Linked DNA regions of Bombyx mori. The protein of the gene in region 3 interacts with the protein of the main gene of each other region in a pairwise test. Links are inferred from orthologs where the notes say so. Each region holds a gene or a part of one and is shown on either strand. Other genes may lie near its edges. The genes, in order: brain tumor protein, regulator of gene activity and pumilio homolog 2.

Region 1 (3,758 bases), on a different chromosome or scaffold from region 3:
GTTCTACAAAGTCGTTGTACATTGTTTTATTCTATCATCAATAGTTTTCGCGATGTAAAGAATATTATAGGTCATTTTTTTACACCTTGGGTTACATTATTGGAGTTTTGGTAAGGATCCCTAATTTTTTCAAAAAAGATTATATATAGCCTATGTCACTCGGGAAAAGTGTAGCTTCCAAACAGTGAAAGAATTTTTCAAATCGGTTCACTAGTTTCGGAGCCTATTCAATACAAACAAACAAATCTTTCCTCTTTATAATATTAAGTATAGAAGTATAGATATATAGATTTCACCCCAAATTATGCCACGCCTTATAAATTTGAATTTCGCATTTAATAAGTTTTTTTTTTTTTTATCCGAGTAATTACCAACGTCGGAAATCGTAAAGTAAATCGCAACCTAATGACTACCGACCATACGCCAATCTATTTATAATCCCCCGGCCAGTGTCAGCGCGTTTCCATTTATCCGTTTATTAACCTTTTCAATCAATTAGCGCTTTATAGCTATATTGTAATGTGCATGTTAATTATGAACAGCCGGAGAGCCGTTTCTCAAATCAATTCTAGATCCGAACCGATTTGCCGAGCGTCACATCAAAACGCACGATGTTGTACGATTTTTTATCTTATGCGCAAACGTTAAGGGTGACGTTTGTCTGTTTGATTCGAGAGTCACGACCTTCTTTGTTCCGTGTAACCTTTAAAGGCGGAATGAGTCCTAAGCCTCATTAGGACAGAGACCGCGATTTAAAGGTTCTTGCATTAATTTGTTTGAAATGTTTTTTTAAATTTTAATTTTAATGTCAATATGAGTTTCATTTAAGTATTCCCGCCATTTGAATAACATTGAGTTTATGCACGATCGGGATCTCATTGTTGTTGTTTTTTTAATGTGGCAATTATCGTTCAAATATCGAAGGAGCCGTGGTCTAAGCGATAAGACAGCTCATGTACTTGTAGCGAGCGATACGACTTTGTTGATGTTCTAATCCCACAGGCGGGTATCAAATATTCTAATGAAAAAACGCACATATTATTATTATGTTCACAAAAGACTTCCATAGTGAAGGAATAATATGCAAAAATACATGATTGCAGAACAATTGAGACATGAACCTCAAATATAAAGGAGGGTGCTGGCATTCGCGTTATGATGGTCATACCCGATCCTGTAGACCGAATGGTAAACAGTCGACAACACGTCGTTACGGATCCTCCTGATCCATTAACGGTGCTTTTAGGTACCTCAAGCACCGGTCAGTTCTCGCCGAACCCGTCGCTGGCGACGAAGGGCTCGGCGAGTAAATGAACCCATAGACACAGTCCACTGAGTTTCTCGCCGGATCTTATCAGTGGGTCGCGATTCCGATCCCGTGGTAGATTCTGCGAAGCACTGCTCTTGCTAGGGCCAGTGTTAACAATACCTCTGATTTGAGCCCCGAGAGCTCACACGCTAGGGTAAAGCTGATATAGCTTCTTAAGGCTATCAGCATAGGTAGAAAAAAATTGTGATGCTCACGGGCTAACCACTTAACGGCGTAACTAACACGGTAGGCCGTGAGCTCGTTCACTCATCTGAGCAATATTATTTTTTACCGAAAACAACCTTACGTCTAATAACAAAAAGCTGAGCAAAAACAAAGGATATGTACCAATTAGTTTTCAAAGTCCGAGGCGCTTCTCACGGTAAGCCGAGACAAACTTCGGCCGGAACGGATTGATCACGTTTTTAAACTATCAAAGGCTGTTCCGATTCTCGATTACGGCCGTTGTGACGTAGGAACAGGCCTAAATTGTTACGTGACGTAACGAAGCCTTGAACAAGATACAATGCCAAAAAAAAACATGGTAACCGACACGCGACATTGACGGACCAACCACTTTTAAAAGTACGGACCGCCTTTGTCAACTGTCAAACTTGTGACCTTTTCGTTCTGAGCGAAATTAGTTTTTAATAATCAATAATAATTTTGTAATAGTGTGTGTGTGTTTTTTTAGTAATGACCGACTCATTCCGTTCGCGGTTCTTAGTTTAGAGCATCTGTTGAAACGGTTACATTTTGTTTTCGAATAAAGCCCCGGTCTTATTAACGTTATGAAACGGTGTCACAAATACGTTACTAAATTACTCTGAATAGTTACATAAGAGTAGTTTTAAGTAATACATAATCTTAATCCACAAGTTTCACTTACCAAAGCAAACCGAATCCGTGCATTAAAAAAATTAAATATGTTTTCTTCGTTTACTTATAAAAGACCTAAATTACGGAACACACACAAGAACAGTAATTTCAAAAAAGGAACTCACTTATTCTAAATTCGTACGTATAGTTAATAAAACAAACTAAGTAATTTTGGGAACAATGACTAGAATTCAAAAGCGCGCGGGAACACGACCGCTCGCGTCGACGGACGAATCATAACTGAATGCGAGGGTCATGTTTTCGAAAATAAAAAAAGTTGAGCCGCCGGTACAGGCACCCATACTTTACGGACGAGATCATTACAACAAAAAGAACCCTAAATATTATCGGTTCGAGCTAGTCGCTTCTCAAACTTGAACGCGCAGGTTTAATGCACTTTCCAGTACTCTTTATTATTCAGATATGGGGTCATTTAAGTTTACTAACTCTGGTTTTCCTTAGATACATCAGTACAAATCGAAGTAAATCGAAGTGTAAACTTTACAGAGTTTTTGTTAAATTTGACGACTTTAACTTTGTTTATTCTTAGCACGTTACTAGTATATTTTTACTTAGATCATTTATGTTGTTTGAATTCATGTTTAAGACGGATTTTGTGTTTACCAATATTATATTGTGAAACTAATGCATTGATGTAATAATGGCATTATAATTAGTCTTGAAAGAACTTGGATACGCGTGTATTTTATCAATTTTAACATTTAAAATTACGTAATAATTAAATCACTTCATGAAATTAAATTGGTTACTTAACCAACTGTTCGTGTTTATTTAGAAGATGCTACAAAAAAAAAAACATATTATATCGCTTTTTTCGTTCATTTATTCGTTTTTTTTTTATATATTTTTATTTAAGATATTTTGATGCAACTTTTTAGTCAACAATTTTAGCTATGCTTCTGATATTTCCAATATCTGAAGACTATTAGATCATGGTACTTATGGTAATGAGCAATCATTAATAACATATAAACAACCTGATGTAAGTTAAATGAATTTTCATTGACTCATAGTTTGTTTCATTGTATTATGTATTAATAAAATTTATTTATCTACCAATTTTTACATGCATTTATTTTTATATACATACGGTTTTGTGTTTGGCGAATTTACTTACATTTTAATGTTCTGACCGGTTTTCAAGGCGAACGGCCAGCGTTCATTGTACTCAATATTACGGACAGGCGAATAAAAATAAATAAATCTATATCATTAGATATAGCTTACGCAATGCTTTATCCGTTTATATACTTTTTACATTTTCTCACGTTCATCAATCAAATGTTCGGATTTAGGTACTATTCGTTTAAGATCAAATAGTAGAATTAATATTTATTTTAAAGGTTGTTTGGTGAGAAGATGAAAAGAAATGACTTGGAAAAAACATAATAAAACACATAAGTAGGATGTTGACATTAGAAATGTTGTTGGTGTATCTTCGATAAGTTTTTGATTTTCACTAAAAGCTTTGCTACAACAACTTGCTACTTTTTTTTACGACAAAGCATTTGAAACACTAAAAGTGTTAATAAAATTTATGAAACTAAAG
Region 2 (3,758 bases), on a different chromosome or scaffold from region 3:
ATTTTAAAATACTTACCATTGAATTAGAATTAGCTTGAGATAAAGTTGTTGGCATTGTAACCCTTCGGTCTGCAAAAGCTCGTTGACCAAACAACGTAGCTCTAGATGCCATTGATGGGGGAGCTCCGCCTGGCATTGCAGTTGAATTACGGCCAGGCGACAAGGCGCCCCCAAAAGTTGGTGTCACATGTCCTGAGACACTACCAACAAGACCTGAGCTCACTCTGCCTCCAACGCCACCAACTCCGCCACTAGCTAGGCTTCGAGGCACTTGTTGAAAATTCAAGTTTGCCATAACCTAAAAAAATAAGCCTTTTTACAATATGATATAATTATTGTAGGTAACATTGCCCTAAGCACGTCATTACGGATCTCCCGATCTATAAACGGTGCTTTTAGGTACCTTAAGCACCGGCCACCGTCCTCTCTGAACCTGCACAACCCACTGCTTGTGGCGAAGGGCTCAACGAGTAAATTAACCAATAAACACAGCCCACTGAGTTTCTAGTTGGATCTTCTCAGTGGAAGCTGAAATATCTCCCTCTGCTAGCCTCTCAAGGCTATCAGCATAGGTAGGGGAAAAGGATAACATCTTTATGCTACATTTACCGGAAACCTGACTTGTGCCTAGTGAATGCTTAGATTTAATTTAGTTTTGATCTAAAACATAAAACGTTTCTTAAGCAAAAATACCCATCTACTTGGTAAAAGTTCCTCTTAATAATATATAATAGATAAATGACTACACACAATGGACTATAATCATGTAGTGGACATATTTAATAATTTTACAGAGGTATTGTCAAGGAAGTGTGAGACGAAGTTGATGTAGAATAAAATTTATTCAGATTCATGCCTATTTCATTTACAATTTCAAATATTTAAATCGTGTTCCAATTTTATAAGCAGATATAATTTTTATTGCTCTTACATTATCAGTATCTGGTTCGTATTGTGATTTTAGAGTTCATTTATAAGAATAATTTTCACAATTTAAGTATTTTGCACAAGTAATTACAGTATGTTGACACAATGGTTATATTAAACGGAAAAGCAGTTAAATTCTGTGCCAATATGTGCAGAACCTCTGAATACAATGTTTGTTGTAAATCAGAAAATTTGTTATCAAGTTTGAGACAAAAGAGATCAATTTTGTGTGACTCAACTCTATGGAATATGGGCTATAAATATATAATATAAATAAAACTAATATTTAAATCATGGAGTAATCGGTTGTAAAGTAGTTGGAAATGTGAAAGAGAAAGTAGAAGGAATACTTAACTATATATGGAATTGCATGCTGCTTATTATTAATTTAAACTTTGGTTAAGTGTATGCATGACGTATGAGAGAGATGATAGTTGAAGAGCATCACAAAACTGTTTTCAGTTGAGCATATTATACAGTAGAGAGGATATGGAGAATGTATTAAAGATCAGTAAATGGCTTAGTTGCCCCTGTCAAACAATGGCGACAATTTTTGTTGTGATGTTGTTGGGCTCACTTTGAGAACGTTGTCAATATTTACCTATTATCAGTCCTTGTTCAACTATTTTATAAAGAATAAGAATGGTTCATAATCGCGTATACTCTGCCAAGATAAATATTTCCGCTTCGATGTAATAAACAAGATTTGTTGACTGTCCAATTTTGATGTTTTTTGTGCATTCAAAATTTTAAACACCAATATAAATGGTACATAAAACTGTCTTCGCGTAAAACGCTGCTATAAAACACTGTAAACTTGATACATCTTTACGTCACTGATAAATGTTTTAAAATTTTCATACGATTTCGCTGAACGCCACATTACCCTAAACAACAGGCGGCCATATTGTTAAAAGGTTGAAGAAGCAGACGGAAATTATCAAAAAGCTTCAAAACCAGGCCGTATGAATTAGTTTGTTAAAAAATAAAAATAGTTTTGACAATTTTATTAAATAGTTTAAATAGTATAAATCGTTTTGTCTCTTTATTATAGATCTGTCATTTAAAATTTATACTAATATTTTTAAGAATTTACAATAAAATTATTTAATTTACATTACTATACTACCCATACTAGTGCAATCCGTAGCATCGTTACTGTACATAAACCTGTAATACTGTACATAATACTGTGCTTAAACGTGTATTTGAGAGTTTTATAAGACTCTACAGCATAACTATAAGTAGCAAACCTGATCTTCATGAGTTTGGCTACTGTGCCTCGTAGAACTTCGTTTCTTCATTTCTTATCTTTGTTCAGAATTACTTTAAAAAATCTCTAAATTAGGATTAAAACAATTATTTTTTAACTTAAAGCCTTATTTTTTAAATAATCTAAACTTCACAACCATTATTTGAAAATTATAAACTACCCACCTCCCTTGTCTAAAACTAAACTATTCCTGCAAAGTGCCGGAAGCTTGGTGGATCATTCATCTTTCCTAATGATTCCGATAGGTGAACAGATGAATGGATCGGACGGTCTCATTATAATAAAACCCAACCAAAAAATATTTTAAACATAACTGAAAACGAGTTCGAGTCAGACATCTATTATCTTCCCTGAGGTGTTTTCTGTATCACTGTGAATACAACATTTCCGGCAGATTGGATGGCGTCTGAAAGCAATCTACGCACACATTACGTAGACTACAATCTAATGAAATTTAACTAGGTATATATAGCAAATATTTGATTCTTCGTCCTTTTCTAAATCTTACATTAGAAAATGAAAATTTTAAACAAGGAAAATGTATACGGTGTATAAGATTCAGATCTTCACGAATACTTGGATTTAGAAGCGATTCGTTAATATTTGAAGAGAACATCAGAACCTTTCTTTGAGGAAGCTGCACGGCGTAATAGCCCTCTTATCGTAGCCGCCGTAAATTACATTCCCGACCTATATGATGACAACGAACAATCGTCGTTGCCTTATTCGATCCAGGCCTTCGGCCTTCTTCAACCCAGTCTCAAGTACCCTCCACTAGCGTCGTAAAATCGAAGCTTAACTGAGAGTACTGAACCCCTATGACACTCACTGAGTTTCTCATTGAATCTTGATTCTTAACTGGTAGTAGATTCAGCGAAGCCAGAGCAGTGTTAACAATTTCTTTCAGGTAGAGGTCTGTGAGCTCGCCCACCACTGGCGTTGGTACAGATGGGTAGAAAATCGTTAAAAATACATTTTACCTAGTTCAAATTCACAATTTACAACAGCAGTTAAATTGTGGATTTCATTTCAAAACATTAACGAAAATATTTAAGGATCGGGTGCACATTGCTGTTATTGCAGATTTAACAAAGTTTCGACAACGGTCAGAAGACGGTCCTTCGGTGTGCTTAGTGCAAGTTTTTTAACTTCTCAATTGCGTAAAAGATCTCAAATTTGTATGTAGTGGAAACAGTGCCTCTGGCGGCAAACATGGGAACGCTATCTGATTCCAAAAATTTTATAATAGCTAAAAAAAGTTTATTATATCTTATTTACATAAATAGAACAAAATCAAAAAGTTTTTCTGCGTGCTTTATGACTAGCGACCAGAATACGGCCTCTGCCGACCTAGTTCTTATATCCTTTTCACTTACCGACATCGAGCAAAGAAGGATCGAGATGTATATATTGATTCATATTCTGAATATTTCAGAAAAAATTGTCTATGTCTGATCAATACTTTTTGGCAACACTAAGATCATATGATTGTTCAATAAAGAAGCACGTCTGATAGGCGTAGACTTCTTTCCCCGAGCCAGTCATTAATTTTCTGGCT
Region 3 (3,658 bases):
CCGCGACGGCCGCTCACTCCGCAGCAAGGCGAACAGCAGGTTAACGGGCAAGGCCAGTACGTGATTCCTTACTACGACCCCGGCTCGCTGGTCATGGGCGGCCGCAACGGTACCCCTCTGCGACTCGTGTCGCCGGGCGGCGTGCTCGCCCCGCGCCAGTACCAGCCGGCGCCCGCACACCCCGCCGCCGGCGCCGCGCCCCCCGCCCCCGCACAGACGCACCAGCCGCAGCCGCCAGGTAACAAACACCACGTGCAAACTTATGCGCACTCGCCACTAGCTCACTCACATTTACACTGCCTTCGATTGTTGTGTACATTTTACACACAAACAATGGCGAGCGTCTCGTTTTTTTATAGAAAAATATTATAATATAATTTATGATCGTTGAAACGTTCGATTAGAACTAATTTTTCATAAATTTTCTATAAACGCTATCTTTTCTGACTATTAAAAGTGAGTGTGCACAAGGGGATACTTCTTTTTTTTCATCTTGTACATAAAGTTACCAAACTGAATTCCAGATGCATGGTGTGTCTAAAATGCATAGCATATTTTGAATGAAATTTTGCTTAATCCTCGTATAAGTTTTTTAGTAGTTCGAAAAAGGAATAATAATGAAAACACAGGAAAATATTAAATTTTACTCTTACCAAATAGATTTCTTTAACTTCTAACAAAGTTGCAAGTATTGAAGAGAGGTGATGATAGTTTGCTTGCAAAATAAAAATGAATTCGACTAATATGCACAAGTATTTAATTTAGTTTACATTAAAATCAAATACCTACATCTCGTTGATAGTAGTGACCTTTTCATCTTATGCTTCTTTTAAAATAACAAGTGTCTCATATACATTTTATTATATAATATTCTCACTGCAAGTGACGGCGGCAAATGTAAATGTAGACGGCAAAACATAAAAATTTACATATGCTCATAATATTTTTTAAATGTATTAGTTTATGTACTATGTATATACGAGTAACAGTAATGTACATAAAAATTTTGAAGATTTACTTTACTTTTATTAAGTAGAAAAAAAATCACTCCATCAATAAAATATTAGGTACAGCTAGTAAACATAAGGTGCGTACATTAGTGGTAGTAACAAAAGGTCTCTAGATAAAGCCTTTTTTTTTCTTTTATAATATTTTACAATCTAAATCCTATTTTTAAAATTACTTAACCGGTTTTTTTATTGACTTTATTCAAAATTTCTGTTTGACTCTAGTAAACATGTATGTCCGTCTGGTTTTGGCACTGGCAAACATGTCTGTATATTTGAAAGAATACAGTATTACTCATTAAAGAAAAATATAGAATAATGTGAATACAAATATACAATCCACAAAGTAATAGCGTTTTTATATAAAATATAATATTTTTGAAAATATTTAGGCCCTCAAAAAACACTGAACTTTATTTTAATAAAGTAATATTATGTGAAGCTTAGAGAAGAATGGAATCTATTTAATTTGGTCTCCATCGCTTTTGTTTTATTAGTCTGTTTGTTGGAGGTTAGCAATAAATATAAATTTAATTCCATGCCATACTAGACACATTTTTCTCATTCTAAGAAAAAAATTAGAATTTGTGCTTTTTGGTTCCTTGTAGGTTTATAGTATTCTAAAACATCAGCTACCGATAGCGACTATTCCACAAAGCTGTTAACCCAATAAGACGAATAATATGTGAACTTAGATGATGATAACACATTCAAATCTGTATAGTAAATCCGAACAATTTATTACTTCCACAAATATACATGTTTACTGTGGCAGACACTATTTAAAAACACATTTGATGATCAGTACGCACCTAGTAGGTAATACCGGTATGAGTAAACGTGGAAGAGTGTAAAGTTTTGTACATATCGATGTCGCCACTCGCCCGCGAGGCCTCCGAGTTCGCGAGTCGTGTACAGAACGTAGAGGAGAGTGGAGGAGCAGAGTGTTGGAGCGCGGAGGTATGTCGTGTTACAGGCGGCGCGAGCGGCGCGCGGCGGGACTCGCTGGAGTTCGGCGGCGGCGGCGCCCTGCACGAGTACGCACGCAAGTGGGGCCCCTCGCCGCTGTCCCCGCCGCTGGGCGCCGCGCTGGGGCCCGTGGGGCTGCGGCCCGTGTCCGCCGCGCCCGGCGCCGAGACCGCCAAGTACAGGTCTGTTCGCGCGCGCACACTGTACATATCTGCGCTTCTGTACATTATTAATCCTGTTGCCGTTCGAGCTTGTCTATTTGTTCATTCTAAAATTTACTCGTCTGGTTTGCGTTCCTGAAGGTATTTTATCGTTTTCCTTTCAGAGCTGTGAGCAGTTTAGCCCAGGGACTCACCTCTAATGGAATGTTTGGTTCGTCTTCATCGCTACTCAGCAAACTCGGTGGAGTTGGAACTATCTCAGGTCGGTATCGTTAGCGGTGGTGCCCCTATGTCACCGTTGTCATGTACATATACATATACACGACTTGTAAATATGATTGTTGCATAAAATGTATATTTTAATTATGGAGGCCAGTCTACCGCAGCTTCTTCATGTAAATATTTAATCTTTTAACTAATTAATGATTTGCATAATCATGAATATAATAAGCAAATTATGATGTACTGAGCGAATAAGTTTCGAAGAAAGTTAGTCGTTGCTCATACAAAGGTATAGTGTGAAAGCAGTAGTAACATGTGAGCGTTTGCACACAGAGCTGGTGAGCGGAGGCGTGGGCGCGCTGGTGGGCGACAAGCCGGCCGCGGGGCGCTCGCGTCTGCTCGAGGACTTCCGCAACAACCGCTTCCCGAACCTGCAGCTGCGCGACCTCGCCAACCACATCGTAGAGTTCTCGCAGGACCAGCACGGCTCCAGGTACCGCACTAACCACAGGAGTTCTCTGAGGAATTGTGTTCGAGATGATACCGTCATCTCGTTTTTACCATTGCACCGCCCGCCACCGTATTAGAGTTCATCCATACTAACTGGAGTCACTGCGGTCATCCACAGAGGTCTTTGTTACCACGTACCATCCGGCTTTAGAATGAGCTCCCCTCCACGGTGTTTCCCGAGCGCTATGACATGTCCTTCTTCAAACGAGGCTTGTGGGGAGAGTATTATGCCGTAGGCAGCAGCTTGGCTCTGCCCCTGGCATTGCTGAAGTCCATGGACGACGGTAACCACTCACCATCAGGTGGGCCGTGTCCTCGTCTGCCTACAAGGGCAATAAAAAAAATGTATTTGTTTCTTGGTCTTGCGTCCTCATCGTCTGATAATGGCGAAAATCAGTTGAATACTACGAGTTGTTGCTCAAATCGAAAATTGAAGTTCTACTCTACAAACTACTAATGTTATTGCATCGAATCTTGCACGGGCAGCGCGGGCGATCTTGTCTATTAGTAAAGTAGTCACGTATTCGAAGGGTGGGACACTTTACACTATACACTAGAGGGTTCGCTCTCATGTCTCAAGGTGGTAACGAGTTACACCGGGGCGCGAACTTGCCCATCCAACTCATGAAATAACTAATACATGAAAGAGAGCGCATTTGTGGAACTAAATTTGACGATGAACATAATATGACGGCCGTAGTTAAGTATTATTAATAAAAGACCATAACAATTCATTACGATACATAAGACAGAAAAGCAGCAAGCAAAATATATTGCAATAGAAAACTG

The links.
Region 1: the proteins of pumilio homolog 2 (region 3) and brain tumor protein interact in a two-hybrid assay, tested with the Drosophila melanogaster proteins (2 studies listed by BioGRID, with this or other methods). The link is inferred for Bombyx mori from reciprocal best matches to the Drosophila melanogaster genes pum and brat.
Region 2: the proteins of pumilio homolog 2 (region 3) and regulator of gene activity interact in binary tests that used the Drosophila melanogaster proteins (3 or more experiments, as listed by UniProt). The link is inferred for Bombyx mori from reciprocal best matches to the Drosophila melanogaster genes pum and Rga.

Annotation. Positions count from the first base shown.
Region 1 is NC_085120.1:10,288,370-10,292,127, reverse strand, and holds the start of brain tumor protein, read right to left. Parts: upstream 2,428-3,758; 5' UTR 2,222-2,427; coding exon 2,199-2,221; intron 1-2,198. UniProt on the Drosophila melanogaster protein: A NHL-domain family protein that functions as a translational repressor to inhibit cell proliferation.
Region 2 is NC_085113.1:7,420,385-7,424,142, forward strand, and holds the start of regulator of gene activity, read right to left. Parts: upstream 2,591-3,758; 5' UTR 2,232-2,590; coding exon 2,181-2,231; intron 299-2,180; coding exon 17-298; intron 1-16. UniProt on the Drosophila melanogaster protein: Component of the CCR4-NOT complex which is one of the major cellular mRNA deadenylases and is linked to various cellular processes including bulk mRNA degradation, miRNA-mediated repression, translational repression during translational initiation and general transcription regulation.
Region 3 is NC_085121.1:13,327,188-13,330,845, forward strand, and holds part of pumilio homolog 2, read left to right. Parts: coding exon 1-238; intron 239-740; exon of another isoform or gene 741-1,983; coding exon 1,984-2,158; exon of another isoform or gene 2,159-2,301; coding exon 2,302-2,399; exon of another isoform or gene 2,400-2,692; coding exon 2,693-2,852; exon of another isoform or gene 2,853-2,877; intron 2,878-3,658. UniProt on the Drosophila melanogaster protein: Sequence-specific RNA-binding protein that acts as a post-transcriptional repressor by binding the 3'-UTR of mRNA targets.